Saccharomyces cerevisiae S288C: one gene and its partners. Changing the gene in region 3 together with the main gene of any one other region gives a genetic interaction. Each region holds a gene or a part of one and is shown on either strand. Other genes may lie near its edges.

The links. A genetic interaction does not mean that the proteins touch.
Region 1: mutations in PCA1 (region 3) and ABZ2 together harm fitness more than expected from each alone (negative genetic interaction), as found in Saccharomyces cerevisiae (one large-scale study listed by BioGRID).
Region 2: mutations in PCA1 (region 3) and FCY21 together harm fitness more than expected from each alone (negative genetic interaction), as found in Saccharomyces cerevisiae (one large-scale study listed by BioGRID).

The regions. Positions count from the first base shown.
Region 1 is NC_001145.3:844,784-851,768, forward strand, and holds ABZ2 (aminodeoxychorismate lyase ABZ2), read left to right. Parts: upstream 1-3,901; coding exon 3,902-5,026; downstream 5,027-6,985. Other genes in the region: DSS1 (exoribonuclease II), read right to left, coding at 1-562; U2 snRNP complex subunit HSH155, read left to right, coding at 788-3,703; ATP-dependent RNA helicase HAS1, read right to left, coding at 5,291-6,808. UniProt on the Saccharomyces cerevisiae protein: Converts 4-amino-4-deoxychorismate into 4-aminobenzoate (PABA) and pyruvate.
Region 2 is NC_001137.3:270,259-278,112, forward strand, and holds FCY21 (purine-cytosine permease), read left to right. Parts: upstream 1-4,308; coding exon 4,309-5,895; downstream 5,896-7,854. Other genes in the region: putative isoleucine biosynthesis protein HMF1, read right to left, coding at 479-868; PET117 (Pet117p), read left to right, coding at 1,510-1,833; PCL6 (Pcl6p), read left to right, coding at 2,366-3,628; FCY22 (purine-cytosine permease), read left to right, coding at 6,314-7,854. UniProt on the Saccharomyces cerevisiae protein: Probable purine-cytosine permease.
Region 3 is NC_001134.8:790,106-799,644, reverse strand, and holds PCA1 (cation-transporting P-type ATPase PCA1), read right to left. Parts: upstream 6,797-9,539; coding exon 3,146-6,796; downstream 1-3,145. Other genes in the region: PHO89 (Pho89p), read left to right, coding at 1,123-2,847; SUL1 (sulfate permease), read right to left, coding at 7,831-9,539.

The DNA.
Region 1 (6,985 bases), on a different chromosome or scaffold from region 3:
TAGTGCTACTTGGAAGACTTACACACATCGCCAATTCATTGGGTCTCATTTTTAAAAGAACAAAGTCACCAACATTTAAGGGACTTTCCATTAGCTGAACAGGTTGAAATTCCATTGGGTTTGGAGCTTTCAGTTTTGTTATTAATTGAAAATCTGAATTTATTAACTTGTAAAGCGGAATTTTTGGTTTTGTTAAAGACCTCCAGGAGTTTACGTACCAATCTTCGGAAGGTTTAACATACCTATCTTTATAACGTTGGTTAAATTCCTGTTTAATTTGAGGCAGTTGTTTTAATTCAATATCAGGCTCTAATCCTTTTGTTCGTTGCAGAAAGTCTTTGTTTATTGATTCTATATCTTTCTCCGGTCCAACCGAACGGTCTACAACTGTCTCTGTAGCTTGATCATTATCTAGCTCTCGTGTGTGATCTAGTTCTACTTTTGCTTGCTGCTTACTCTTACTTCGCTGTCGTTTGCCTCTGGTAGTTACTCTGAAGCAAGGTGTGTAGGAATGAAAGCTCCTTGCAATTAGAAGAACATGTACTTTCCGCCTAACTACCATCACCTGTCTTTATTTATTCCGCTGACAGATATGCACAACCAATTATCGTCTCTTGAAAGCTTTTTAGACGTGATTGCTGTTATTTGGCACGTTGTTAGTATTTAAGCTTATTCGGGTTTGCATTGATATTTGCCCGAGCAGAAATCTCCTTCTCGATGAGTTAGAACTGAAACATCTCTTCAATTACTTATACATAATAAACATAGAAAGCCAGGACCTGTCATCATGAGTCATCCGATTCAATTTGTAAACGCTAATAATAGCGATAAGAGCCACCAATTAGGCGGTCAATATTCTATTCCTCAGGATTTGAGGGAAAACCTGCAGAAAGAAGCTGCACGTATTGGTGAGAACGAAAAAGATGTGCTACAGGAAAAAATGGAAACTAGGACAGTGCAAAATCGAGAGGATTCATACCACAAAAGAAGGTTTGATATGAAGTTTGAGCCGGATTCCGATACACAAACTGTTACGTCTTCAGAAAATACCCAAGACGCTGTCGTGCCAAGGAAAAGAAAATCTCGTTGGGATGTAAAAGGGTACGAGCCACCTGATGAATCTTCAACAGCGGTCAAAGAAAACTCTGATAGTGCTTTGGTTAATGTAGAAGGAATCCATGATTTGATGTTTTTTAAACCTTCTGACCATAAATATTTCGCCGACGTTATATCCAAAAAACCCATAGATGAGTTAAATAAGGATGAAAAGAAAGAAAGAACCCTGTCGATGTTACTTCTGAAAATAAAAAATGGCAATACAGCGAGTAGGAGGACTTCTATGCGGATTTTAACCGATAAAGCTGTTACATTTGGTCCAGAAATGATATTTAACCGCTTATTGCCCATATTACTAGACAGAAGTTTGGAAGACCAGGAAAGACATCTAATGATCAAGACCATAGATCGCGTCCTTTACCAGCTAGGAGATTTAACAAAACCTTACGTTCACAAAATACTTGTAGTAGCTGCCCCATTGCTAATAGATGAAGATCCAATGGTTCGTTCAACAGGCCAGGAGATAATCACCAATCTGTCTACAGTCGCTGGCCTAAAAACCATTCTAACAGTAATGAGACCTGATATTGAGAATGAGGATGAGTATGTTAGAAATGTAACTTCAAGAGCGGCGGCTGTGGTGGCAAAAGCCCTTGGTGTTAATCAATTGCTTCCTTTCATCAATGCAGCATGCCACTCACGGAAGTCTTGGAAAGCAAGGCATACTGGCATAAAAATTGTGCAGCAAATAGGTATACTTTTGGGAATAGGTGTCTTGAATCATCTTACTGGGCTGATGAGTTGTATCAAAGACTGCCTAATGGATGATCACGTTCCGGTGCGAATTGTTACAGCACATACTTTATCAACACTAGCAGAAAATTCTTATCCATATGGTATCGAAGTTTTCAACGTTGTACTGGAGCCATTATGGAAGGGTATAAGAAGTCATCGTGGTAAAGTGCTATCTTCTTTTTTAAAAGCTGTTGGATCTATGATCCCATTGATGGACCCAGAGTATGCCGGTTATTATACCACAGAAGCAATGAGAATAATTAGACGTGAATTCGACTCTCCCGATGATGAAATGAAAAAGACCATTCTTTTAGTATTACAAAAATGTAGCGCTGTAGAATCCATAACGCCAAAATTTCTGAGAGAAGAAATCGCGCCAGAATTCTTTCAAAAATTTTGGGTCAGACGAGTGGCATTGGATAGACCATTAAACAAAGTTGTTACATATACTACTGTTACATTAGCAAAGAAATTAGGTTGTTCTTATACCATTGATAAATTATTAACACCATTGAGAGATGAAGCTGAGCCGTTCAGAACAATGGCTGTCCATGCTGTTACTAGAACAGTAAACTTATTAGGGACAGCAGATTTAGATGAGAGATTAGAAACGAGGCTTATTGATGCGCTCTTGATAGCATTTCAAGAACAAACAAATAGTGATTCTATAATCTTTAAAGGGTTTGGGGCAGTGACGGTGTCACTTGACATCCGTATGAAACCGTTTTTAGCACCCATTGTGAGTACGATTTTAAATCATTTAAAGCATAAAACTCCCTTGGTTCGTCAACATGCAGCAGATCTATGTGCCATACTAATACCAGTCATCAAGAACTGTCACGAATTCGAAATGTTGAATAAATTGAACATTATATTGTATGAATCCTTAGGCGAAGTATATCCAGAGGTATTAGGTTCTATAATCAACGCTATGTACTGTATTACTAGCGTAATGGATTTGGATAAACTACAACCTCCTATTAATCAAATTTTACCAACCTTAACTCCAATTTTAAGAAACAAGCATAGAAAAGTCGAAGTAAACACTATCAAATTTGTTGGACTTATTGGTAAATTAGCACCTACCTATGCACCTCCTAAAGAATGGATGAGAATATGTTTTGAACTATTAGAACTTTTGAAAAGTACAAATAAAGAAATAAGAAGATCAGCAAATGCCACGTTTGGATTCATTGCTGAAGCAATTGGACCTCACGATGTTCTTGTTGCGTTATTGAACAATTTAAAGGTTCAAGAACGTCAGTTACGTGTATGCACGGCTGTTGCTATCGGTATCGTTGCTAAAGTGTGTGGTCCTTACAACGTGCTGCCAGTAATCATGAATGAATACACAACACCAGAGACTAATGTTCAAAACGGTGTTCTCAAGGCCATGTCATTCATGTTTGAGTACATTGGTAACATGTCTAAGGATTACATATACTTCATAACACCATTATTAGAAGATGCACTCACCGATAGGGATTTAGTTCATCGTCAGACAGCGTCGAACGTAATAACCCACTTAGCTTTAAACTGTTCAGGTACAGGTCACGAAGATGCCTTCATTCATTTAATGAATCTTCTAATACCCAATATTTTTGAAACTTCACCACATGCTATTATGCGTATTTTAGAAGGTTTGGAGGCACTGAGTCAAGCTCTTGGCCCTGGACTATTCATGAACTACATATGGGCAGGATTGTTCCATCCAGCGAAGAATGTAAGGAAAGCATTTTGGAGGGTGTATAATAACATGTACGTAATGTACCAGGACGCCATGGTACCTTTTTACCCCGTTACACCAGACAACAATGAAGAATATATAGAAGAACTGGATTTAGTTCTGTGAATATATATAGAGCATATAAATAACCACAACTTGTAAGAATATTTTACTTGACACACCTATATCATCACGTCACGATGCCTTCATAGATTATGATGAAATATAAACAGAACCTGCTATTGGAAAAAAAAGGGCAGGAAAAAATTTTGTGAAAGTGAGTAAAAGAAAGATGAAGAGCGAGACATGGATAATAAGAAATAGATGTCACTAATGGACAATTGGAAGACTGATATGGAAAGTTACGATGAAGGAGGCCTAGTTGCTAATCCGAACTTCGAGGTTCTGGCCACTTTCAGGTACGACCCTGGTTTTGCACGCCAGTCAGCGTCAAAGAAAGAGATCTTTGAAACTCCAGACCCTCGATTAGGTTTGAGAGACGAAGATATTAGGCAGCAGATAATTAATGAGGATTACTCAAGTTATTTACGAGTAAGGGAGGTTAATTCCGGCGGTGACCTTCTCGAAAATATTCAGCATCCTGATGCTTGGAAGCATGATTGCAAGACCATTGTGTGCCAGCGTGTAGAAGATATGCTACAAGTCATTTATGAACGATTTTTTTTATTAGATGAACAATACCAAAGAATAAGAATAGCATTATCATACTTTAAAATTGACTTCAGCACGTCTCTGAATGATTTATTGAAGTTATTGGTTGAAAACTTGATTAATTGTAAAGAAGGAAATTCAGAGTATCACGAAAAAATTCAAAAAATGATCAACGAAAGGCAATGCTATAAAATGCGGGTACTTGTCTCTAAGACAGGAGATATACGAATTGAGGCAATTCCAATGCCTATGGAGCCTATCCTAAAATTAACAACCGATTATGACAGTGTTTCCACATACTTCATCAAAACGATGCTCAATGGATTTTTAATTGATAGCACAATAAATTGGGATGTTGTTGTTTCATCTGAACCATTGAACGCATCAGCTTTCACCAGTTTTAAAACCACTTCAAGAGATCATTACGCTAGGGCGAGAGTTCGCATGCAAACTGCTATAAATAACTTAAGAGGTTCAGAACCTACTTCTTCTGTCTCGCAATGCGAAATTTTATTTTCCAACAAATCTGGCCTGCTGATGGAAGGTTCAATAACAAACGTGGCTGTAATTCAAAAAGATCCTAACGGTTCTAAAAAGTATGTGACACCAAGATTAGCAACTGGATGTTTGTGCGGAACAATGCGTCATTATTTATTGCGGCTCGGCCTTATTGAAGAGGGAGATATAGATATAGGAAGCCTTACCGTTGGCAACGAAGTTTTGCTTTTCAATGGCGTCATGGGATGCATAAAGGGAACAGTGAAGACAAAATATTGAGCAGACGACAGATTTTCATATCAATGAAGTTTTTTTACAATAGTTTACAAATCATGATTTTACATACTCAAATATGTGCAGGTTGATACAGACAACGTACGTAGAAGACAACAAACAGAAAACAGCGGTTTATACATTTATTTAAATGACATACAGTGGAGAAGCAGAGAAAGGAAAAGGAGTGCGATGAGAACAGAAGATGAATACTTCGGTTGTGTTGGTTCCACGTACACATTAATAGCATTAAAAATTGATCCTCTGAAATTACTTATGAGTTTTACGTCTTTTGGTATTTGGCGTTTTTCCACTGGCACCAATTGTAATGTTAACCTTTGGAGGGACTGGAAAACCGTAAGACTTTGCTACTTTGGCTAAATCCAGCTTATCGATTTGATAGACAGTTTTCAAAGAGTGGGAAGCGTACGCTTGTAAATAAGATCTATAACCATCCTTGGCTGTTTGATGTAGATAATAGTTGGATTTAATTAATTTTTCTAATTGTGATTGAACGTTTGCAATTTTGTTTTCCGGGAATTCGTACTCATTTAATGGGACCTTGGAAGCCTTTAGATATCTTAAAAACCCTAATTCATTAGGTGTTAAAAACATTAAAGATTTACCCTTACCTTTAGTGCCTCTTGCGGTTCTTCCGACTCTATGAATATAATCTCTTGGATCATCAGGAGGGTCGAATTGAATGATCCAGTCCACAGCAGGGATATCTAGCCCTCTAGCTGCGACATCTGTACAAATCAAGATACCTCTTTCCGCATTACAGAATTCGAAAAATGTATTTGTTCTCTTTTGTTGTTTTTGCTTACCGTGTAATTCGAGGACTGGCAAATCAATATAGTTCAATAATTCAGCGTAATATTTCACAGAGTTACAAGATGATAAAAATACAATAATTTTCTTTTTTTGATTTCTTTTCAAGAAAGAAAATAACAACAAAAATCTCTTATCACTGTCACATACCACATAGCCTTGTTCTAATCCATCTGCGGTGGAGTTGTCGGTTTCAGGAACGACATTAATGAAAAGAGGGCCCGGTCTCAGCGAGATTCTAGCCAAATCCTCAACTTTGGTCGTTTGTGTAGCTGAAAATAACATGGATTGCCTATCTTCGTTTGGCAAGATCTTAATTATCTGCCTCATTTCATCTTCAAACCCAATTTCTAAGATTCTGTCCGCTTCATCGATAATCAAAGCCTTCAAGTTCTTGAATACAAATCCTTTTGTATTTTGTAAGTGATCCAATAATCTTCCAGGGGTAGCAATCAACATGTTAACACCTTTCATCAATTTTTCGGCTTCCTGTCTTCTATTTGCACCACCAATGACAATACCAAATGTCTGTGAATGGAATTCCATTAACTCTCTTGCCACTCCAAAAATCTGTAAAGCCAACTCTCTTGTAGGCGTAATGACAATTATACCGGTACCATTTCTTGGTTTGAATTTCAAAGAATGCAATAGTTCAATAGCAGGGATGAGAAACGCTAGAGTTTTACCAGAACCTGTCTTGGCAGCACCAAGAACATCCCTACCGGCCAAAAGAGGTGGGATAGTCCTTGCCTGAACAGAAGTCATAGTGGTAAATCCCATCTTTTCAATGGCCTTTAAAGTTGGCTGTGATAACTTTAGTTCTTCGAACTTTTCCACACAAGTAGTTTGTTCTCCCTCAGGTGCGGCATTGTTTTGTTTTGAAGTGCTCTTTTCATCTACTACAGGTTCTTCTGTAGATTCAGAATCTCTAGAACGTTTATTTGACGGGGTAGCCATACTTCTCCTGTTAATATTGCTCAGCTTATCTAATTATTATAGTATACAGTTATCCAATAGCTATGTACTCAAGTACCGTGTATACACTATAAAATCTCATCTCATCGCTAAAGCTAATATTGAAAAAAAAAAAAAAAAAAAAAAGAAAAAGCAAATAAAAAATTTTCAATTCGGGTA
Region 2 (7,854 bases), on a different chromosome or scaffold from region 3:
AATTCCTTCTAGATAATATCCTCTGCGCCTAGGCTCACGAAATTACACGGAGGAAGCGTCGACCAGGCGACTCGTTGGTAGGGGACCAAGCGCGAGTAACTACCAGAATCGCCTTGGCTCAGTAGAAAATGACGGCCTAAAGGGAACCTAGCGGGGGAGCGTAGTCGTAAGCGGGAACAGCGAAAGTCAAGCTTCTTTTTTTTTTCACAATATATGGAAAAAAATTTATCACCCATACATACCACTAAATGTGTTATATATTTGAGAACACCTTTACATCCTAATGTTTAATGGAAAAAACAGTCCTCGAAGAGCATCGTATTTGTAGAAGGAACCAAGTAAATTAGTATACAATGTACAATGTACATTCTTCAGATGGGAAGGTGATGAAAGTCATACTTCTATGGGCTTTATATTATAAAGCTAAAAAATACGTAGTAAAATCCTAAGTTCTAAAAGACGCTATTAAGACTTGCCCTTAATCTCTTTCGGCAGCAATGGCTTCCATTTCCATGTCAACGCCTAATGGCAATGCTGCAACAGCAACGCATGATCTGGCAGGTTTGTGAGTATTGAAGTACTTGGCGTAAACGGAGTTAAACTCAGCAAAGTGATTGATATCTGCCAAGAAAATGTTAACTTTTACGACCCTGTCCAATGAGGAATTGCTTGCTTCTAGAACATTCTTAATGTTTTGAATCACCTGTTCAGCCTTATCAGCAATGGAACCTTCAACTAACTTGTTGTCTGGGGTCACTGGAATTTGGCCAGAAAGGAAAATCAAATTGTTCACTTTCATGGCATGGGAGTATGAAGCCGCAGCAGCTGGAGCGGATTCACAAATAACGGGAGTTAGCGTGGTGACCATAATTCTAATGTAATGATGATGTTCGAAGGGTAAATTTTCTTTCGCTTTTTCGTGGAAACCAAATATCAAAGTTGTTCCTTATCATGTATCCGTTTGATAATGAAGTAAATTAGTATTTCTTTTGTAGGTCAGCAGCTCGCGCTATGGAGAAAGGAGTTATAATGAAACCACGTGAGCACGATGAAATAGCAATATGTTACTATTGATTACCGGATTAGAATGGTTAAAATGGTGAAATAAGAAGAATGATTATTGTGTGCTCAGTATCGGTTGAAACCACTAGTTTTGGCGCTTGACTCCACTCGTGAGTCATGTTTGGACTATATATGTGCCTTGAATATATATAAATATATATATTGCTATATGATCCCGCTGTTTCCAAGAGTAGTAATTACTAGACGGCTGTTGGCATATGTCAATGAGAGATTAGTGTACTCTTCGTACCATCAATCCGCCCATAATCTTCTAAGTGATCTTCCGATCGTATCCATCGAACTTTACTAAAGGCTCTTTTCGGGGTTACCCCTAAATTTTCAGTATTTGATTTGTATTAATGTTTAGCATTCAGGTAGTCGTAGTAAACGGACACATTTGACATTCAACGACGGTACACACGGTAGGAGACGTCAATTTCGGCTGAGATGAGTAGGGCTAGCAAGATAACGTTTGCAGCTTCCTGTCTGATAACGGCAGCGACGGTAGTGGGCGTGCATTATGTGCAAGAAATGGAAAGGGAAACTTTGCATCAGGGTCCGATAAAAGATGCTAAACGAGTCGAAGAAAAGAGGTTGAGAAAGACAAACGGAGTTGCATCATTAGATCCCACAAAAGAAAGGAAAAGGTACTTCAATATGAGTGAACACGAGGAACAAAAAGAGTTGCGAAAGAAGTATGAGACCATGCAACCGCTTAGTGGAGAAGTTGTGACCAAAGATGGAGAGGTGGTTAAAGAATCTAAGAAATAAACACCTGTCGGCAGTAGTTTACCTCTCTATTATAGACTACTCTTGTTTGTATATATGTAAGAATCGTGTAATTATTTTCAAGAAGCCTTCAAATTGAAGGAATAATCTAAAACTCGAATAATATCAATGTTAATCAATAACTATAATCAAGACCTTAATGTGCCTGCTTGCCCCTTTGGGGATTTTACCTCTATTTTGAAATTCCATTCAATCAATCTCTCGACGATCTCTAAGGTAAGATCTCGCCTTGATGTGGCTCTTTTTCTTCCGCCCTTGCGGAAAAAATCTGAATGAACGTAATTTACCTAAGAGATAACAAGGCTAACCTTGATAGAACCTTAAAAAACAGTATTGGTAATTGCAATAGCACCAACCGTAAGTGAGCTAAACTAGTGAAAGATTTTCTAAATCATAACGCGCGGAATTCCAGTTAATATATTACGTAGTCATCCCTCATCATAGAACTGTTTTTTTTTTTTGCAAAGTATTGAACCAGTTATTAGTTAAGTTAATTGTAGCAAATAGCGCCGGTATGTCTATCAAAGGTGATTCCCCCTCATCAACAAATGCCAGTAGTAGTCCGAAGTCTACATATTCAATACAATCGGATGATAAAGCAAACCTTGGCAGTGGTAACGTCGATATACGTACAGATAATTCACAACAGGACAGTAATAATAGACGCGATATTGTGGTAGTGACGAGGGTAGCTTCTGAAGAGACTTTAGAATCACAATCATCTACTTCATCAATGGGAATTAGACCAGAATCATCTTTTAACTATGAGGATGCTTCTAACCAAGCTAGGGTCGAAATGAATAACAGGGTACATGGCTCAAATATGAACACAATTAACAAATATTATCCAGTACGATTCCCAAAGAATAACGAAAGGCAATTGAGCGACACAAATAATTTAAATGAGAAAGTGCAAGGCACACATACAGTTCAATCATCCACCCAGGAAGACAAAATACTCGACGGTGACACAAGCAACTCACAAGTAACCCCGTCTTTGAACATTGCAGAGTTTCCCACAGACAAGCTTCTTAAAATGCTGACAGCGTTACTAACTAAAATTATTAAGTCAAATGATAGGACGGCAGCGACAAATCCTAGTTTGACACAAGAGATTGAGAATGGTAGGTGTCTTGCTTTAAGTGACAATGAAAAGAAATACTTAAGCCCCGTTCTGGGGTTTAGAGGGAAGCACGTACCACAAATTGGTCTTGACCAATATTTCCAGAGGATCCAGAAATATTGCCCCACAACGAATGATGTATTTTTATCGCTCCTCGTGTACTTTGATAGAATATCCAAGAGATGCAATAGTGTCACTACGACCCCTAAAACTAATACTGCAAAACATGAATCTCCCTCAAATGAAAGCTCTCTAGATAAAGCTAACAGGGGCGCTGACAAAATGTCCGCATGTAACAGTAACGAAAATAATGAAAATGACGATTCAGATGATGAAAATACAGGAGTTCAAAGGGATTCAAGGGCTCATCCTCAAATGTTCGTAATGGATTCACATAATATTCACAGATTAATCATAGCAGGTATTACTGTCAGTACGAAGTTTCTGAGCGATTTCTTCTATAGCAATTCAAGATACTCAAGGGTAGGTGGGATATCTTTACAAGAACTCAACCATTTGGAACTGCAGTTTCTAGTTTTGTGTGATTTTGAACTTTTGATATCAGTCAATGAATTGCAGAGATACGCGGACTTACTATACAGGTTTTGGAACAACGCAAAAGCTCAATCGCAAGCACTAGTTACGGGCATGTAGAAATGCGTAATATGCAAGTAGATATATTTACATACACAGTTTCTCTCAAAGGTAGTAATTATCTTATGTGTTAACGTACGGTTGCTAAGAAATAAGCATGGTAACTTTCTTAGGTAATTCTTTGGTATTAAGATATATTCTGAATTACGGTTTGGACTACTTTATTGTTCAGAGATAAGAAACATGTTGAGCAGCACTTTATGGTGTTGCTATATTCCCGTTCAAATACAACAGCAACAAAAAATGCTTATCCCTCATCAAATTGAACAGAAAAAAAAAAACCATATTATTTTATTCAAGCTTATCGCATGATAGACTGTATATGGAGCAGTCAAAATTGACTGCTAACTGAGTTTTCATTTTGGAAATCTTATCATTTTGCGTTCACCGATTCTAACTTATTTTCATCACGAATACGAGAAGGGCAAAGGTGCCGGCGTCATTATGTGACGGAAAGAAAAATTCGATAAGGCCTTTTTTTTTTCACTCATCGTATTGCCAAGCAATTTTAGTCAGAAGTAACACGTATATATATAAGGGCGTAGACGTCCCTCTTAACAGATACTCTGTAGTCCGTGCTAACGTAAACACAGCATTAAAAGTGCTTGTTACTTCACTATTATTAGCATTGAGGCGCGTGTGCTCGGAAAACCTACCATATTATAAAAGGGCTAACAAATATGCCTCAAACGCACGAAATGTCCCTGAACGGCACTCAATACTTAAAATATGAACTTAAAGACCTTGAGTCTCGAGCTCACGATGCAAAGACTCCTTCAACAAATGAATTCTATGATGATGTAGAATCGCACGGAACAGAAGAATTAGTTGAAGCTAAACTGTCGTTTTTGAACAGAATTGCTGCTGGTTTAAGTGCCGAGACAAAGGGTATTGAACCGATTACAGAAGATGAAAAAACTGATGATTCTATACTGAACGCTGCATCTATGTGGTTTTCAGCAAATATGGTTCTGCCTGCTTATGCCATTGGCGCCCTAGGGCCTATGGTGTTTGATCTAAATTTCGGCCAAAGCGTTTTCGTTATTATTTTCTTTAACCTCTTAGGCTTGGTATCAGTTGCTTTCTTTTCTGTTTTCGGTGCAGAGCTGGGCCTAAGACAGATGATTTTGTCTAGATATTTAGTTGGCAATATCGCAGCCAGGATCTTCTCTTTCATCAATTTTATTGCCTGTATCGGTTGGGGTATCGTTAATACCGTAGCAAGCTCGCAAGTCCTGAATATGGTTAACCCCGGTCATCAATGTCCTCTCTGGGCTGGTTGTATAGTTATTATCGGTGCTACTGTAATTGTAACTTTTTTCGGCTATGGAGTCATTCATGCTTACGAGAAATGGGCGTGGGTACCAAATTTTGCCGTTTTTTTGGTAATAATTGCTCGTTTGGCAAGGTCTAAAAAATTTGTCCTTGGGGAGTGGACATCTGGTCCTACTACAGCAGGTAACGTGCTTTCATTTGGATCAACAGTTTATGGGTTTGCTGCAGGCTGGACAACATATGCGGCTGACTATACCGTTTATATGCCAAGGAAAACGAACAAGTATAAAATTTTTTTCTCGCTTGTAGTTGGGTTAGCAACACCATTATATTTTACTATGATACTTGGTGCAGCTGTAGCAATGGCAGCTATCGGCGATCCAGCCTGGAAGACGTATTATGACGAAAATTCCATAGGTGGTTTAACTTTTGCCGTTCTTGTCCCTAATTCTGTTCACGGATTCGGTCAGTTCTGTTGCGTGTTATTGTCTCTGTCCACTATCGCTAATAATGTTCCCAACATGTATACTATTGCTTTATCGGTGCAAGCCACGTGGGAACCTCTTGCGAAAGTCCCAAGAGTTATTTGGACTTTATTAGGCAATGCGGCCGCACTGGGTATTGCCATTCCTGCCTGCTACTATTTTTCTACCTTCATGAATTACTTCATGGATTCCATAGGTTATTATTTGGCTATTTATATTGCCATTGCATGTTCAGAGCATTTTATTTATAGGCGTTCCTTCAGTGCTTACAATGTTGATGATTGGGATAGTTGGGAACGTCTACCTATCGGCATTGCAGGTACTGCTGCCTTAATTGTTGGTGCCTTTGGCGTAGCGTTGGGTATGTGCCAAACTTATTGGGTTGGCGAGATCAGCCGTTTGATCGGAGACTACGGTGGTGATATTGGATTCGAGTTAGGACTAAGTTGGGCATTTATAGTTTACAACATTGCTAGACCCTTTGAGCTCAAGTACTTTGGTCGTTAACGAAAGTTCATTTAAATGTTTCGCTATTTTAGTCTTTGTAATGTAACATAAATGGCTCTAGTATGCAAATCATTAAAAAATAGCATGTATGTTAATTAAATTATCACGGCTCATTCATTTGAGTTGATAACGCAATTCTGATAAGCATATCACGTGACTGTGGTTCTAAGAGTTACTCCGATCGCCAGTAAATACTTTATGAGACGTTGCATTATTTCTGTTTAGTTGATAAATTTTGATTTCTAGTCTGTTGAAAGCCTAATGCATGCAGATGACATAAATGTAGTCTGTTTTTGCACTGGTGATTTGTAAACCAGACAAATATATAACATGATAACCAAATTGTTTGTTATAAGATACGCTTGTCAGATTGAAATGGAGGGTGTTTCAGAAGGTGACTAAAATATCGAAGAAAAGTATGCCAGAAAAGTTAGCCATGTCAATGGTCGATATAAAAGATGCGGGGAGTGAACTAAGGGACCTCGAATCTGGAGCTCTGGACACAAAATCTTCCGCCGCTGATGTATACTATGAGGGTGTAGAATTGCATAGAACCAACGAATTCATTGATAATAAGCCGTCCTTTTTCAATAGGATTGCAGCTGCTTTAAATGCTGAGACGAAAGGTATTGAACCAGTTACAGAAGATGAAAAAAATGATGACTCGATACTCAATGCCGCCACTATATGGTTTTCAGCTAATATGGTGATTGTAGCCTATTCCGTAGGTGCCTTGGGTCCTCTAGTATTTGGCCTAAATTTCGGCCAAAGTGTTTTAGTTATCATTTTTTTCAATATTTTGGGTTTGATCCCTGTTGCATTATTCTCACTTTTTGGGGTAGAACTGGGCCTAAGACAGATGATTCTATCGAGATATTTGGCTGGTAACATCACAGCAAGATTTTTCTCTCTTGTTAATGTCATTGCTTGTGTCGGTTGGTGTGTTTTAAATATTTCTGTTTCTGCTCAACTTTTGAATATGGTGAATGAAGGCTCTGGGCACAACTGTCCTATTTGGGCAGGTTGTTTGATTATTGCTGGTGGTACCGTGCTTGTGACTTTTTTTGGTTACAGTGTCGTTCATGCATACGAAAAATGGTCGTGGGTACCCAATTTTGCTGCCTTTTTGGTCATTATTGCCCAACTATCGAGATCAGGAAAATTTAAAGGTGGTGAATGGGTAGGGGGTGCAACTACTGCAGGTGGTGTTCTTTCTTTTGGTTCATCTGTTTTTGGGTCAGCTGCGGGTTGGGCGACTTATGCAGCAGATTACACTGTTTATATGCCAAAGACCACAAGTAAATACAAAATTTTTTTTTCCGTAGTAGCCGGTCTAGCGTTCCCTCTATTTTTCACCATGATTCTTGGTGCTGCTTGCGGTATGGCGGCCCTTAATGACCCAACCTGGAAGTCATATTATGATAAAAACGCCATGGGTGGTGTCATATATGCTATCCTGGTCCCTAACTCTCTAAACGGATTCGGTCAATTCTGCTGTGTTTTGTTGGCTCTTTCAACTGTTGCTAATAATGTCCCTGGAATGTACACTGTCGCTTTATCCGCTCAAGCTTTGTGGGCACCTTTGGCTAAAATACCAAGAGTAGTCTGGACAATGGCAGGTAATGCTGCCACTTTAGGTATTTCCATCCCTGCTACCTATTACTTTGACGGCTTTATGGAGAATTTTATGGATTCCATTGGTTATTATTTGGCTATTTATATTGCCATTGCATGTTCAGAGCATTTTATTTATAGGCGTTCCTTCAGTGCTTACAATATTGATGATTGGGATAATTGGGAGCATCTACCTATCGGTATCGCAGGTACTGCTGCCTTAATTGCTGGTGCCTTTGGAGTAGCGTTGGGTATGTGCCAAACTTATTGGGTTGGTGAGATCAGTCGTTTGATCGGAGAGTACGGCGGTGACATTGGGTTCGAGTTAGGCGGAAGTTGGGCGTT
Region 3 (9,539 bases):
TAATAGCGAGCCCACCTTTAACGCATATCTGCTTCACCGCTGAAATAATATTTTACGAGCACGCTAACACAATGCTTGTGTTTTCTGTTGAAATCACAATACCGTTACTTGGAGTGACCATTTATGGTTTGTTGAATTCACAGTACTCTCGTCAGCTTTGTCACGTATTCAACTGTAACCTCTTTGAATCTCAACACTACGTTGTCTTCGCGTGTACTAAATGTATCGATTATATAATAGTATTTAAAAATCATTTAAAATTGCACCATGTACTGTATAATGATTTTCTCAAGACGATATTTCGAGTTTTGCCGATGGGTCTTATAATCTCTTTTGATAGAGATACCTACTTTTAACAATATCAAAATTACTGATATAGGTTAATTTTTGTTCACGAGTAAGTACTTCAGTGACACTCGTCAGTAAAGAACATTAGCGGAATCGTTATAATTTCATTCCTTACATCCGTTTAATTTCATTAATTCGATGCATCTTTCTTTGGCGAAGCCAGAAAATCTAGTTTCAGAAATCTCGGTTTCACCCGCAAAAAAGTTTAAATTTCACAGATCGCGCCACACCGATCACAAAACGGCTTCACCACAAGGGTGTGTGGCTGTGCGATAGACCTTTTTTTTCTTTTTCTGCTTTTTCGTCATCCCCACGTTGTGCCATTAATTTGTTAGTGGGCCCTTAAATGTCGAAATATTGCTAAAAATTGGCCCGAGTCATTGAAAGGCTTTAAGAATATACCGTACAAAGGAGTTTATGTAATCTTAATAAATTGCATATGACAATGCAGCACGTGGGAGACAAATAGTAATAATACTAATCTATCAATACTAGATGTCACAGCCACTTTGGATCCTTCTATTATGTAAATCATTAGATTAACTCAGTCAATAGCAGATTTTTTTTACAATGTCTACTGGGTGGACATCTCCAAACAATTCATGTCACTAAGCCCGGTTTTCGATATGAAGAAAATTATATATAAACCTGCTGAAGATGATCTTTACATTGAGGTTATTTTACATGAATTGTCATAGAATGAGTGACATAGATCAAAGGTGAGAATACTGGAGCGTATCTAATCGAATCAATATAAACAAAGATTAAGCAAAAATGGCTTTACATCAATTTGACTATATTTTTGCCATTGCCATGTTATTTGCATTTTTGGATGCCTTTAACATCGGGGCAAACGACGTGGCGAACTCATTCGCGTCGTCGATCTCTTCTAGATCTCTAAAATACTGGCAAGCCATGGTTTTGGCGGGTCTCTGTGAGTTCTTGGGTGCTGTCTTGGCAGGCGCAAGAGTTTCTGGTACTATCAAGAACAACATTATAGATTCCTCCATTTTTACCAACGACCCCGCTGTTTTAATGCTTACTATGACCAGTGCTTTGATTGGCTCGTCTTGTTGGTTAACATTTGCTACTGCAATCGGAATGCCAGTTTCTACTACACATTCCATTGTTGGTGGTACAATTGGCGCTGGGATTGCAGCCGGTGGAGCTAACGGTGTCGTTTGGGGTTGGAGTGGTGTTTCTCAAATTATTGCGTCATGGTTCATTGCTCCGATTTTGGCAGGCGCGATCGCAGCTATAGTTTTTTCAATTTCTAGGTTTTCTGTCCTTGAAGTTAAGTCTTTGGAAAGATCGATTAAGAATGCTTTACTGCTGGTTGGTGTTTTAGTATTCGCCACTTTCTCTATCTTAACAATGTTGATTGTCTGGAAGGGTTCTCCAAACCTACACTTGGACGATTTATCTGAAACTGAAACTGCCGTATCTATTGTTCTCACAGGTGCAATTGCTTCGATCGTTTACTTCATCTTTTTCTACCCATTCTACAGAAGAAAAGTTTTGGACCAAGATTGGACACTAAAGTTGATTGATATTTTCAGAGGTCCATCTTTTTACTTTAAGTCCACTGATGATATCCCACCAATGCCAGAAGGCCATCAATTAACAATCGATTATTACGAGGGCAGAAGAAATCTTGGAACAACTGTTTCTGTTGAAGACGAAGAAAATAAGGCAGCGAGTAATTCTAATGATTCCGTCAAAAACAAAGAAGACATCCAGGAAGTGGACCTGGTTAGAACTGAAACTGAACCAGAAACAAAGTTGTCAACGAAACAATATTGGTGGTCATTATTAAAGCAAGGACCTAAAAAATGGCCCTTATTGTTCTGGTTAGTAATCTCTCATGGTTGGACTCAAGACGTCATTCATGCTCAAGTTAATGATAGAGATATGTTATCTGGTGACCTGAAAGGAATGTACGAAAGATCTAAATTTTACGACAATAGAGTAGAATATATCTATTCGGTTCTCCAAGCCATTACTGCAGCCACTATGTCTTTTGCTCATGGAGCTAATGACGTTGCCAACGCTACTGGTCCTTTGTCTGCTGTGTATGTGATCTGGAAAACTAACACTATTGGGGCAAAGTCCGAAGTTCCCGTGTGGGTTCTGGCTTATGGTGGTGTTGCCTTAGTTATTGGTTGCTGGACTTATGGTTACAATATTATCAAAAATCTAGGTAATAAGATGATTTTGCAGTCGCCATCAAGAGGCTTTTCAATTGAACTAGCTGTTGCTATTACTACTGTCATGGCTACCCAATTAGGTATTCCTACCTCAACAACCCAGATCGCCGTTGGTGGTATTGTCGCTGTTGGTTTATGTAACAAGGATCTCAAATCAGTTAATTGGAGAATGGTAGCCTGGTGTTATTCTGGTTGGTTTTTAACTTTACCAATTGCTGGTTTGATTGCCGGTATCATAAATGGTATCATTTTGAATGCTCCTCGCTTTGGTGTGGAATACCAAATGACATAATCATAATGTGTTTCGGTTATGAATACAGTTTTACAACATTAGGTAGAACTTTTATTGCTCAGTGACTTTAAAGTTAAAACATTTCTAATTTAAAACCTTAAAGATGCATTAATTTTTTTCTAATTTATCAGTTGATCTGCAATTACCTGGCATGGCTATGTGTATTTTTTTTTTTTATGAATTCCATCATATTAAATAGAAAACTAAACTAAATAATAAATAGAGTATTACAGAGTCGTCAAAAAAAAAAAAGAAAAGAAAAAAGAAAATCTACAATCAAATAGCAGCAGTACCTGGACTAAATCTTTGCATAACGCAGAAGTATAGCTACAAAAATTACAGGGAGGATACTAACTAGTTCCCCTAAACCCGCATACTCTGGTGGAATATGAAAGTCAACAAAGGCACCAGCCGCCAAAAGGATAGCAAATAAGTTGTAAGTAAAACTCCATAAGAAATTCAATTTGACCCTAAACATGGCCTTTTGACTTACAGTTATCATAGTCAAAATATTGTTGAGCTTTGGCTTTAACATAACTACATCAGCAGCTAGCTTGGCAACCTCACTTCCCTCATTGATATGAACTCCAATCGTTGCTTGAGTCAAACCAATTGCGTCGTTTGTTCCGTCACCGCAAAAAACAACAACCGGTCTTTTTGACTGCGAAGAACTATCGCAATTTCTTCCTTCGACAATATCCTTAATATATTCACTCTTTTCTGCAGGCGTTGCGTGAGAACGAATATTGGAGCTTTCAATTCCAAGACGGGCTGCCATAGAACGAACGGCTCCATCGTCATCCCCTGATAAAATGTGTAGTGAAATCCCTCTTTGGCGTAACAAGTTAATAGTGGAGACAGCATCTGCCCGTAAAGAGTCCTCTAATGCATAAACTGCAGTGACTGAACCATTAACACTAAAACAGAATACAGAATATCCTTGTTCAAGGGCTTTTCGAACGTCAGGATCATTGTTATGACCAAGCCAACGACAGTTCCCTCCTTGTAACTTCAAACCAGAGTATGATGTTCCTTCTACCCGCTTACCAGTCACAGCTTTTGTATTAGAAACATTTTGAGCAGAAACACCTTTTTCTTTGAGATAGGATGCTATTGCCATGGAAACTGGGTGTTTTATTCCTTCAGTTAATCCAAGCAACAAAGATTGAGAATTATGACGATCACCCCTAACAGTTTCATGTACTACAGTAAGTTTTCCTTCAGTTAGGGTACCCGTTTTATCGAAGACAACATGCGAAGTGTTGTGAGCAACTTCTATACTCTCTGCTGATTTGAAGATTACCCCTCTTTTCGCAGCGACGCCACTTGCAATAACAAATACGATAGGAACGGCAAGTCCAATCACGCAGGGACACGAAACGATAAGTACCGTAATGGCATATATAATGGCCTGAATTACGGCATCGGAGCGGGATTGCTTTTCCACACGGATTCCAACCGCTATCCAAACGCAAAAGGTGACGACAGTGATTCCAATGATAGTTGGCACGAAATAACTTGCAATTTTATCAGCGATATTTTGGATCTTTGGCTTAGTTAATTTTGCTTCATCAACCATCGTGGCTATGGTACTAATAGTATTGTTCCCTGGAAGCTTGCTCAGCTTCACAAACAAAGTACCAGTGCCATTCACCGATCCTGCAACAACAATTGATTGACACTTTTTCGGGACTGGCATAGATTCACCTGTGATTAACGCTTCGTCGACTTCAGAAGACCCAGAAATGACTGTTCCATCAGTTGGGATTCTTGAATCAGGTAAAACCTTAAAAATATCGCCATATTGGAGAAGTCTAATATTAATTTCCGTCTCTTTACCAGTTTTATCCACCAGAATAGCAGAAGAGGCCTGTAAGGAACGTACTGATATTGACTTTACAGCCCTATGTCTAGCTAGTTCACTCACAAAGCGACCAACCATGATGAGAGTTACAAGCAAAGAGCTGGTTTCAAAAAACTGCTCCGTAGATAACGGGCGTCCAACAACGAAATATCCAAATGATACAATCGAAAATATGTAGGCAGCGCTAGTGCTTAAAACTATTAGTAGATCCATTTCAATGAGCCTGGAAAATATCAAACTCTTCAAGGCATTTAAGTAAAACGGTCCTGCAATAACAAATTGAATAATAGTTGCTAGCACCATTGACGCGGAGATAGTGGAAATTTTTTCACGAAGCTGTGGAGCCCAAGCCATCACGAGAATCGGGATCGTCAATATTATGGATAAAGCGGTCGTGCAGCCTACACGAACTAAATGCTTCCTTCCCACTTCAATGGTTGGATGACAACTGAATGGAGCAATACTAACAGGCACGCTCCATCCTTCATTGACAAGATCTCTGGCACCTATAACCTTTGGGTCAAAGTAAATACGAATGATATTTCTCTCAACAATTTTCAGCTCTGTGACACCTTGTGGCCATTCCTCATTAATAAAATCTTTTGCTGCATAAGGAACAACAACATCTATAGTTGAACCATGATTTGAAATCTGTTCGTACTTGAATTCAGTAGTTTTGCTCAAGTGCTTGATAACATCCTTGACAGATCCCTGAGCAAGATCCAGATTAAATTCAGCTTGCGATAATATTAAACTGGTCTTCAAACCGTGAACACATTTGAGCGCGCCAAATGATTTCTTAAGTTTTGATTCACAACCAGTACAGGACATTCCTGAAACACTAAGAACAATGTGCTCGGTACCGGTAGATCCTGCCTCAAGATTAAGATGATTTTCAATTGGTTCCATTGATACGATTCTTGAAATTTCACTCGAAGAGTGTCCAGAAATAGTTGAGGTAACAGCACAATCCTTCATTTTAGTGCAACAACTTTTAGAACAAACAAAATCAGCATGGCCATTGTCATTGCTCAACCTTTCTTTGTCTCCATGGGTCTTTTTCTTTGTTAAACATCCAGAACTGTTGCGGTAGGAGTATTTTGTCTTTTTAGAAGCACCCTCCCCGCTACAAAAACGCACCTTTGGGAGACAACAAGATTCTTTTCCCAAAGTACGCAAATAGTTACAGATACAACCTAAATTTTTCAAAATTGAGGAGTAACGATTGTACATTCTAGAGTACTGTTCGCTGAAGAACTTCTCGCTTAAACTGTCGGTAGAGCTACTCCCAGAAATTCCAACATTGGTGCTACCTTTAAAAGTCCTCTTTTCACAGCTACGAGATGCAATCCGCTCAACACATGAAATGTTGCAGCACTCAGGCTTACTGGAAACCTCAATTTTCTGTCTGCTAACTTTACAACTTCTTTTCTTGAGTGTAGAGTCACTTGATTCGATGCAAAGCCTACCCTTCCCTGTGTGTTGGTTGGAATTGGTATTGCAGCGAGTTGTCTCTCTAATATCATGAATAGATTGCAGACCTTCAGATTTGCTTGGAACAACTTCAAAGCTGGTCAGCAATTGTTCTTTAGAAGATACAGCTTCGCAGCTGCCTGTAACTTCCTCGACCATCACTGAAGAATCTCTAACGCAGCATCCATCAACACAGGATTCATTGGTGTGGTCACCACCTGTTTGAGCATCGCCGCAACAGCTGTCCACATCCAAGCCAGTCTCAGTGTCGTTCACTTTCTCAGCACAACATTCATCTACACGGGATTCATTGGTGTGATCACCACCGGTTTCAGCATCGTCTACATCTAACCCAGCCTTAGTCCTATTCTCGCCATGATGGCATATCTGCTCAGTCTCACTCAAACATTCCTGAGGAGTAATTTTGGGCCGATTGGTACAGTCTCGCTGGGAGACCAATCCCAGATTGTCATTAGCATGCATTTCTATGGATCTACGATGACACTCGCCTCTATTATCTTGCATAGCATCTATTGATATGTTCTCGCTATTTACCACTCCATACTCGCCATCGCTGGTACCTAAACCGGAGAAGAGTTTTTCCGGCTTCATCGTTATCAGCAGCTTTGGGCTCTTTCATTGTATAAATCCTGGAAGCATCTCGAAAATATCTTGCTTTTATATTTATAATTGCACCTTATTTATGCCAAGTGTAGGCTTTTCATGCGATTTTAAAGAAAAATTCCTTGTTGGCGCCTAAATTTTGATTACCTAACCCATACATTCGTTCAACCTTATATTTTTAGAAAGGCCTGTTATCAGATCATTTTCCGAAAACTCTTCAGAACCAATTTCAAAAAGACAACTATTTGACACTTTGTTGGTTTTCTTCAAAACAGTGATGGATTCATCCGCTCGAGGAGCTAAAATGGGGAATGAATTCCTTCCAAATAGAAATAGTACTTACTTCATTGTATTGTTGGAAAATATAAATCGATATTAACAATAAGAAAATTATTCCATTATTGATTTATGAGATTAAAATCACACAGCCTACATACAACTCAATAACGTTATCTGCCTTGCAAAACTGCCTCTGTATATATATCGATGATCTTCAAAATATACTATTTTAAGAAGTGTTTTAATTGAAGGATTAAAGTACAGGGTAACTTTTTAAAATTCATTGTATTGCTAAAATAGTATTTTTCTTTTCAGATTCATAACAAAACATAATTTCTTCCACATTAGGAGAGACAAGCCGTCCAAACTCTTTCCGCCTAAAAACCATGAAATAAATTCAAAAAAAATTAGGAAAATGTTGCTCTATCTAGCATAAGCTTAATACTTAAATGCATTTTTATTTTTATTTTTGTATTTTCAAAGGACATTTGTAGAAAATAGGCTCAAGCTCAAGTTAACTTCTAGACCATGTCTTTTCAGCGCCTTAAACTACTGAAAACGGCCCTTTTCGTGTACTAATGCTTTCAGGAAATTATAAAATTTATTTTTACTTTCGCCATTCAACATACTCAAAATAATAAATATTCCAGCTATTTGATGGTAATCTACATTAATAACACAATTATCTTTTCATGTATAACTAAAAACAGGGGGGGTAATTAAAGTACTTACTATCTACTACACTAAACGTCCCATTTAGAAAAATCGGGTATATCGATATGAAAAAACGGTAAATTTGTCCCAGTTGCAGCACATAATGTTTCATAGTTACTGTAAGATGTGCTTATACGGCTGTCTTCATCAGTATAATCCACATCATCCTTCAAAACTTTTGCAACGTGAAAACTAGAATGGCCAGCGATAATAGAGTCGTCACTATATTCCTCATTTGTAGTTCCGAATTTAACACTCAAAAGACTTCTTTTGATCCATGGAGATATAATTCCGGCAAAATGGAATTCGACTTGTCTATCCGCATACCTATTCACAGCTTTTCTCAGATCAACCAGGCTTTGAACAGCGGTTGAATCCACTTGAGCAACTTGGGAAAAATCCAGGCAGACGACTTTCAGTAGCGGCTTTTCATATGTTTCTCCGTTACTGCTTCCATTCGATATCGGTAGGTCACTATTCGTTGTTGCTGAATGACGTTTAAATTTAAATAGTGATTTCAAAGAATCTGGCATTTTCCATTCACCAGGATCATTCCATGGACGGTCTGACTTTTTCCTTAAGGTTATAAGTTGGCCTCGCCTTGTTTCTTCCTTAATACGATCAAATATAATGTCATAATGCCTTGAGCAGTTCACGTAAGTAAAGCTATCACCCAAACGATAGACTATGACACCTGGTGGAGGAGGCCGAACTGTGGTATTGATATTCAATTCTCTTGAGTATCCATGATCGAACGGAACCCACTTTACGCTAAACTTATACTCTGGGGCTGGTAAAACCTCAACAGTAGACTTAACCTGTTTATTCAGTTCATTAGGTAATTCATTAGATGATATCACAGCATCAATATCCTCTTGTACTGTTGGGTTCAATACTTCTGCCACCTCAACACGACCAAGGAATTTACCAGCAGGGAAAGCCTGTTTCAATAGTAACATTGCACATGACCAACACATTGCAAAATATATACCATTTTCAATGGATGAAAATACTGTGATGAACACTGTAACGATAAATGAGATACAATCTAACGGGTTGGTCTTCCAGAAGGTCCAGGTGGTTTTGTAAGAAGTCAGCAAATCAGAAACAGCATGAATAATAACCGCCGATAGTGTCGCTTTAGGAATGAAAAAGAAGGCGTCAGTTAAACAATAAAGTGCTAATAGAACGCAACCGCCAGTGAATACCCCAGAAAACGGAGTGCGCACGTTACATTTTGCTTTCAAAGCAGATCTGGAAAATGACCCAGTTGCTGGATATGAGTGAAAAAATGTCCCTATCAAATTTGTCACACCAATCGCAATAAGTTCTTGGTCAGGGACAACCTTGTAGTCGTTAATTCTACCAAAGGATTTTGAAATAGCGATGTGTTCTAACACCAGAACGATAATTGAAGCAGGTATTTCTGAACTCATATTAGATAGCAGACCGTCTGGGATTTTCATAACTCCCACCTCATTTAAGCCCGAGGGAACTGTACCCAGAATACTGATTGGACGGTCTTTTGAAGATTTGTTTCTTGTTATGCTCCACGATATGGCAGTAAAAACTACTATGACGACGGCATTTCTCATAGCTTGTGCATAGAAATAGAAGGATTTCAGTCTATTTGCTACCTTTGGTTGATTTCGATAATATCTATCTGCCAAAGTTATACCAAATGTACCACACCACCATTTCCATACATAGAGGATTACCAACGGAATCAAGCCAAAAA